Linked DNA regions of Xenopus tropicalis. The protein of the gene in region 1 purifies or fractionates together with the protein of each later gene. This does not show direct contact. Links are inferred from orthologs where the notes say so. Each region holds a gene or a part of one and is shown on either strand. Other genes may lie near its edges.

The links.
Region 2: the proteins of syngap1 (region 1) and ywhae purify together in Homo sapiens (affinity purification with mass spectrometry; 3 studies listed by BioGRID and IntAct, with this or other methods). This does not show direct contact. The link is inferred for Xenopus tropicalis from reciprocal best matches to the Homo sapiens genes SYNGAP1 and YWHAE.

What each region holds. Positions count from the first base shown.
Region 1 is NC_030684.2:71,832,372-71,836,820, forward strand, and holds part of syngap1 (ras/Rap GTPase-activating protein SynGAP), read right to left. Parts: coding exon 4,314-4,449; intron 919-4,313; coding exon 774-918; intron 614-773; coding exon 469-613; intron 38-468; coding exon 1-37. UniProt on the Homo sapiens protein: Major constituent of the PSD essential for postsynaptic signaling. Inhibitory regulator of the Ras-cAMP pathway.
Region 2 is NC_030678.2:46,067,105-46,071,305, forward strand, and holds the start of ywhae (14-3-3 protein epsilon), read right to left. Parts: upstream 2,801-4,201; 5' UTR 2,631-2,800; coding exon 2,567-2,630; intron 1-2,566. UniProt on the Homo sapiens protein: Adapter protein implicated in the regulation of a large spectrum of both general and specialized signaling pathways. Binds to a large number of partners, usually by recognition of a phosphoserine or phosphothreonine motif.

The DNA.
Region 1 (4,449 bases):
AGATGCAAAGACTTCCTTCAACTCCCGAGGAAACACACTAAATGTTATACCAAGGAAAATAATAAAAATAAGCAATGAACAGAAAAAGGGGCAGAAGTGATAATTTTGTATTACAGAAGTAGTTATATTAATTATAAATAAACAGGAAGAGATAAAAAGGTTCATACAGCAGGCACAGAAATCTGAAAAATTGAGAAAGGAATAAATAACAGAGAAGCTAATAGAACAAAATGTAATTCAACAATGATATCAGTGCCCAGAGAACTCCATCTCTATGGTTATGGTTTTTTTTTCCTGTCTGCTTTGTCATTTTACTCTGTAATAAGGTTTTGGCCACAGTCTCTCCTATCTTTTTGTATGAGACAAACATTATAACTTTAATAACCTTCACACTTCTGCTCTACTCATTAATTCCAGAAATGAATTACGTGTAATACTTTTCATTATATCACATGACCTAATACTGACCAATGAGAGTTAAAGACTTTGCAAAGGGCGAGTTCACAGCACATCCTGAGATTGGCCTGGTGATCGGGCAATGCAGAGGGTGGACAACGCATGGGATCAACCTCACAGTCCTCCTCAGACTCATACAGTGCCCGAATAAACTCACCTAGAAGAACAAAGAATTTGAAAAAAGATGAATATCAGAACTGAATGAAAGAGAGAGAATTTAATCATATGTGAAAAGACAAAGATTAAATCATAGAGACAAAACAAGAGAAAAAAAATTAAAAAACAAATATAGGAAAACAACACAATAGCATCTTTACCAATGGCTTCCTTGAGGTATCTCTGTCCTATCAGTTTCAGATACTCCTCTATGGCTTTAGTTGCAAGTGTGTTCTCACGGAGAATAAGGTGCTCTCTGTCAAGGAAGCGATCAACCTCGGTCATAGCCATGTCTGAAAGGAAGTCCTGGGGAGAGAGAGGGAGAGAGGAAAGGAGGCAGAGAGAAATAGTGATAGAGAAAATGAGAGATTGATAGAGAAGGAGATGGAGTGTCACAAACAGAGAAATAGAAGGTCATCAGAGTGGAAGGAAAAGGGGGTAAAGGGGTTAATAGAAAATGAGAAGGGGAGAAAGAGAGTGACAGCCATGTGGAAGATGAAGTCCTGATAAAAGAGAAAAAGTGAAGGAGAAAGGATGAGAGAGAGTCTTTGACTCCATCTCTCCCAGTAGAGAGACCAATAATTTAAATAAATTAGCACTACTACTTACTAACCAATATTCTTTTTTATCATTTCAATGTTAATCATACACTTGTGGTACTGGCGACAAAATGGAACTACAAAGTAGCTTTTATAGTAAGGAGCTCCACTCAACAAAATACATGCACATGTCAAAGAATAACCAACTGGAAAGGGAAATGGAGACTCTATATGGATGTATTTATGTCAGGTTATTTAACAAATGAAACCATGAACCCCAACCTCAGCAGCACACTAACAAGCACTTTTGAGATATACTGCAGAACTTTTTATTAAAACTAACTTCTTGCTTTGTATTAATGTAGGACACATCCATGTCATGACACACACATCATGTTATGCAGCAGATGTCTACTATGGAAATGCTATTATCTGTGTGAATGTTTCTTATATGCTTGGCTGCACGCATGGTTTTTCTTTAGCTCTATAAAAGTAAATGCACAGCAATGTGGAATGTGTTGGTGCATTATAATTATAATAATATATGCGTGTCTGCTTTATCCAAATTTTATTACACAGACAGACAAAACTTGAGTTCTCGGAATGTGTAGCTCCCTTTTATCAGGAGGCATAGAATAGGGAAAGTTGATTCCTGTAATCAACGGGAGAAGAAGGAGTTTGCTCACTCAAGTCCTTCAAAATAGAGTGGTTTCTGGGACCCAGATGTATGCAAACGGGGAAAGCTTAACAACTATTTAAACACAGTTTCTCTGCATCTTAAATTAGATGATCCTCTAGGGAGAAAATAAAAGCACATTTAAAGGACATGTCAACCCCAAAAATATTTTTTTTCTAATAAAAGAATAAATATTTCCAAGCAACTTTCTAATTTGAATTTATCAAAGTTATGTGTAAATGTAATTGCTATAGAAAGCAGCATTTACTGAACTCCTGGTTGTTACTTTTTAAACAATGTTGCAATGGTCAATCTCCTCCAGCAAGTCAGGTCTGTCAATCTGCTGTGGTGTGTTACATTGTTTCGTATGCCAGAGCCACCAGGGCAGGGTCAGGTGAAGCGTATATCTGCTTCTCTCAGCCCTGCACTTTTCTGTCAGGCTGAGAGAAGTGGATCTGCTTCCGTACACTCCTCTGTGTGCCTGCCTTAAAGAATATGGCAGCTGCCCCAGTGTGGGCACACAGAGCAAAATGGATCGGAGGTCGGCCTTGAAAATGTTTGCTTTTCTCTTTTTACAGGCAAACCTCCGATCCACTCCACTCTGTGTGCCCACACTGGGGCAGCTGCCATAGTCTTTAAGGCAGGCACACAGAGGAGCGGATGGAAGCGGATCCACTTCTCTCAGCCTGACAAAAAAAGTGCAGGACTAAGAGAAGCAGATTTACACTTTATCTGACCTTTCCCTTAGCATTTTTATCACTTGCTTCTAGAGAAGCATGGACATTTTGGAACATCTTACTTCCACATACTCTTAGGCCAATGTCCAACAGGGAGATTAGTCACCCATGATAAACCTCTTCTAAAACTTCAGGTGACTTAGCGTCGCTTATGCCTTCCCAACAACACCTTATTGCCGGTGGGAAGGCATTTTGAGCAGATTAGTAGCCCGTGGTAAGCAGAGATTTGTCATGGGTGACTAATCTTCCCATTTAACATAAGCCTTAGGGTGAAGACACATGGACCTACTAGTAGCAGCTACTTTTTGCAGCTACAAAAATAAACAATGTTGATCCTTTACTGATAATTGTCTCTACATGTGTTTTAGCAGAGGAAATTAATATACGTTTTTTTGTTATCTCTACAATGAGTTTATATAATGTATAAATTAGGAGCTGTAAGTATATTTGCCATTGTTTTATTTTCTAGAGTTACTGTGACTGTGTTGCTGGCTAAGCCTGCAGTTTTAGACTTGCCTTAGCAGTCACTGACAGGTTGGCAATAAGATGTAGAGAGGTTGCAGCCACTGACAGGACCAGGAATCAAAGGAAGCCCGAATAACATTGAGTTTATAGCTTAATATATAAAAACTTACCCATGTTCTATTCATTCCTACTGGGTTTTTTAGAGGCATTTTTATCAAATGGTGAGATCTAACTTCTAACTCACCCATTGATAAATATGCTTTTAGAAATCCCATAGGAATGAATATAATGTTGGTGAGTTTTTTTATGTATTAAGCTCTAAACTCACATTTTGATAAATCTGCCCCAACTGTCCCTTTTATTTATATACCTGTTTCTCCTTGCTTTTTCCCAGGAGCATGTTTTGTTGTCCACAGACACCACTCAATAAACATGCAAAATGTACAATAACTGTGAAGTAAGGAATATTTTCTTTGGCAGTTGAGATGGTTGGCCCCTACATGACAACAACCCTATACCGCTTAAGTGTGGGTACCTCTGGCATAAGACTATAACCAATAACTGATATACAAAACCTTTGGTATTATCCTCCATATCTAGGCTGCTTTAAAGTATAAATAATAATAGATAGTCAATGTGAACTGTATGAATATAAAATAAACATGTTCTACAGAAACTTATGGTGGTACACCTAGCATCTTTAGTAATAAAGAATTATTACTAATCTAAATAGTTCCAAATCTTCAAGCTGTTGGCCAAAATAAATAGAAAAGGACAAAGATGTGTATGAATAACCCAATGTAAAATATCCATCCATTCAGCCTATGGGCAGATCAGTTGGGTACTAAATGGGAATGGCCAATATATGCCCACCTTCAAAAAGTTATAGCCTCAGTTAGCAACTGTTTGCCTTAAATCTACTCAGTGACCATCTGTTTAAGATTCATCAAAAACACACACACCTTTTGACTGAAGTCCTAGAAATGACCCAAAATACAGATTACCTACACACAACAATACCTTATAATTCATTGCATCTGCTGATCAACCATTCCAAGCACAAATTCTCTCAGGGCTGCCCAGAAGGCATAGGAAATGGGTAATTAACAACTCATTACTAATCTAACTAACTAGCCAAACTCTTTAAATATTTCAGTGTACTATCAGCATACTATCTCTACATGCTATATTATGCATAAGCAGCTGATACAGCTGATTTATATGTGTTTATACTTGCATTATAAAGTACATGCTGCTTCTAAGACACACAATATACCCATGTACCTTGGCCTTGCCTGTGCTTTGCAGTATATGCACTAAAGCACAGGCAACCTCCTCTTTGCTCTTCACGCTAAGCACAGGCTCCAGTACAGCGCACAGCATCCGGTAGTTGTTGGTGACATACTCTGCAAACTCCTTG
Region 2 (4,201 bases), on another chromosome or scaffold:
TACTGTTAGTGTATTCTTAAAAATATACAACTGTGTAGAGACCGATGTGAGTTTAACTGGGTAGACCCCCACCCAGCTCACATTTTTTACCTGTTCTGGCCCACAATCTAAAGACTACCAGGAGGGATACCATAATGCAAGAAGTGAAATAGTAAAAAGGAAGTTTAAAAATTGAATGAATAACTGTAAAGGAATAAAAAAAAAAAATGACACCCCAGAAACCCCATTAAACCCCCCCAAAAAAAATTTCGCAGATAACCCTGGGTACCCAACACTCTTCAGGACTTTAGAACTACTTATGTAGACAGCACTTTAAAAATCAGCAACTTTGTGTGTATATGGGGGGGGGGGGGGTATTATCCGCTATACAGAAGCTCAGTGGAAATATAACTCATACAAATGGAGTCTTTGGGCAGCTGTAGGATGGTATAGATATCTTAGAGACACATCTGATGTGCATGTTTCAGTCACACAGTTCTGAAAATTAAATCTCTTGAATAAAAAGGTTCTCAAAACCTGTTCTAATGCCTCCCTAACAATGACATTTCTGTGAATATCCAAGCATTCCAGCATGAGGACCTACCACATTTTGCTATTCACATAATAATGAACATATGTGGATAAGTGGACATTCTCTTGCCTCAGGTCAGGTTCCAGACACTCTGTTCTAGAACACTACAGCATTCCCAGGATTCCAAATATAGTAAACAAGTGAGACAAAGGTAACCACATAAACAAGCATTCCATAAATGCAAGGAGGTGGGTGACTGGTACCCCCACTCCATTAATAAGGATTTCAATGCCTCTCATGTGGTTTCTTGGGGAGTTATCTAAAATATGTATAAAGTAACATCACAGTGCATTTAATAAATAAATTATTCCTCCATATCTAAAATTTAAGTGGGAGAAATTTAACAGAAAATGTATCTGTTCTAATTAGGGGTGTAAAAGAAAAATAAGGGCGGCTGGAGGAAATTAAATAAACCAGATCTAAATAATAATAAAAATATATCAATTTTCCATGGATGCCTGTTATCCTGTAGAACAGTCAGGACTAAGGCCATTCTGTCAGACAGGGCACGCCCACACCTGCCAACTCTTCACAGACACGCACCCAGATGCAGATCTACAAATCCCTCTGCACGACGAGGGACTGGTCTGACAGGAATGAATGAGCCTGGACGCATGAAACAGCACACAGGCCAGGCCCAGGGCGGAGGTGCGCAGCAAGGCGCGTCCTACTGCTTCACTGAGGCAAGGCTGGCTAAGGAAACAGCCAACTATAGAATCCACTTCTGGGACAGTGTGAATTAACCTGGCAAATATCACATATGAAAATTAAAAAAACGTATAGAAAATAGGCTGTTATCTCAGACAGCCTTTATAATAATGAAAAAAAATCTGAGCTAGACCTATCATGGGAAGATTTTTTGTACAGTAAAAGGGCTTGCAGCATCACCATAACCCTTCCTTCTCCCCCCACCCAGATTGCTGTCAGTGGAATAACAAAGATAGGAGGTCTGCACAATAACACTGCACCAATGTACAATGAAAGGATGCACCCAGCAAGCTACTACACCCTGACTGCTTTGGCTGACAGATGCTGGAATTCTGGGAAAAAATATATTTAAAAATTCAAACACCGTTTGGATGCAGCTTTAAGCTCAGTGGAGCTAGATTTCCATCCCATCGGAACGCTATCAAACCCCTGTGCCTCTTCCAGCTTGTGAAGCCAGTGGAATGCTGGGAGTTGTAGTTCAGAGCTGAAGGTTGCAGGGCTTTGAGGAATAATGGAGACCCCCCTTATGTGACCAGTGTGTGTAACCCAAGAGAACTCATTACTGGCCAGACACGAAACCTGCACATTGTCCATGATTCCAGCTTGACTGGGACAATGAGCCTTTCAGCCCACAAATGCCGCCCGCAGCCTGAGGGCCATCCCACCCAAGTGCCATTTCCATGGCGATGCCTTAACCCCCTGTTCCGCTGCCAGACAAGCGGCTTTTCCCACATATCCAGGAAATTGCACCACTGCAGACGTTTTACCGGCCCCAGCCGCCATCTTCCCCAGTGATCCGCCCATAAGCACACTGCCCTATCCCCGGCACATATATCCCTACATCCCCTCTGCGGTCCCACAGCTCCCATGCACTCCGTGCAGCCCGGTTAGCAGTGCATGCTGGGATGTGTAGTGTATCAATAGGGGAGCTGCCCCCCAGTCTAAGCCTCTGTTATTCCTCCTAAAAGGCTGAAGGGTCAGTTACACCATAAATCGCCCTCCGCCCCCCATAGTCTCGCCCTATTCGGCAGTCGCCATTTTATAAGCAGCCTCCCTTCCTACCACAGCCCCCTCCCGCTTGGCCGCCAGCAGCCAGCCCCAGGGAGCTCCTCTAACACTAAATGGCAGCCAGGTCTAAGCAACTGTCATCCCAGAAAAGCAGTCCCTATTGTACTATGAGGGTCTCCTTTGTCCTCCCCTCCCTTTGCTAGACCCTCCGCCATTTTGTCTCGCCTCCATTCTCTCCGCCCGTCGACCTAAGGGGGGGAATTTAGCGATTCTTCTTACCGTCATATCTCTCGGCTTGCTCTGCCAGCTTGGCTCGGTACACTAGATCCTCTCGCTCTTCCATGGCGGTAGCTAGCGGGGATTAAAGGCGATCTACTGGGCGGATGGAAGCCGATTGTCTGTCTCCGTCTCCCAGTGACTCAACCTCTCTGTCTCTCTAGCTCTGCCCGGGAAAGATGGCAGCCTCAATCCGGGCACTTCCGCCTGCGCACGCGGACAATCGCTCAACTCTATGGCAACGGCTCCCTAGCAACAGCAGCAGGCGCGGCACAAATGGGCGGGGCCCAACGGCTTTGCGTCAGGCATGAAAGGGCGGGGTTTTTACCTCATGCTGACCTTATAAGGGAGTCCGGGAGGTATGGGACGATTGTCTCATTGATTATTGTGATGGAGGGGGAGGTAGTGAAATAGAAAAGACGGGCTTTATACTATATAGCTTCCAGGTAATGTCAGAGATCCTTCTGTTCTAGTAGTTCCCAAGGCTGCGTAAGTAGGCGGGGCGGGAGCGCTAAAGTTGGTCGGGCTGCGCTGCGCTGTGACTGGGGCGCAGTTTTCTATTATTCCCCCTTTTTTTTTTAAATTTAAATCACACTTAAACTCGTCTGTGATGCCAATCTAATTACATTTCCCTCTGTAGGAATGCACTCCCTTCTAATGATAGGGTTATGCAAGGAACAGCAGGATAGCAGCCGATTTCCATTGATCTCCATGGCTGTTACTATAACACAGGGATGGGTGAGAGGGGATGTAAGGGCAGGGGTTACACACAGATTCATTTGCTGGTTTTAGAAAGGGATGAGCTGTGTATGCTTTCCCACCAACAAGTCACTGATGCCAGTGGGAAGGCATTTCAGGGAGATTAGTTGTCTGTCTTTGTGTCCCCATTACTGGTGACAAAATGGTACCAGTGACAGACTGTTACAGCAACTGGTGCATTAAAGTGCGTTACTTAGTGACTTAACTAGGGGTGACGGCCCCACAGCAGTCATTTTAGGGAGCATGCTTAACTTTTGTCTAATCGTGTTGCTAACAGGCAGGTTCTGGAACTGGCAAAGCACCCAGTGAACATTAACTGCAAATTCAATGTTATCTGGCTGAAAATTGGCCAGCTGCTGATCAGGTAAGTTAAAAAAATCCCATTGGGACAAGAACCAAATCAGCTTGTTAGCATGGTCCTCCTCCTAACAGAATGCATACTGTCTTTGGATCAAATTGAATCAGTGTGATATTGACCAGCTCAAGGTGGGCTGATACAGGTGAGATCCTCTTGTTTTGCAGCTTCACCAAAACAAGCAGATCATTTAGTATATGGCCAGCCTTACACTGTGCAGCTCTAGGCTGTATCTCTCGGGACTAGTCTTGCATGAAAACGGACATTAACTCTGTATAGATCCCTGGTAAGGCCTTCCGTTAAAGGGATACTGTCATGACTTTTACGGGGTACTTTTTATTTCTAAATTACACCGTTTACATAGCAAATCATTCCCTCTAGCATTTAAATTTTTATTCTTGAAGCTATCTTTCAGAAGGAGTTGTGCTACAAATTCTCACTGCTTTCAGATAATCTATTCTCTCTTTCCTGTAACTGGAGGAGTCCTAAACTGGACTTGGATTTTTTACTATTAAGTGCTATTC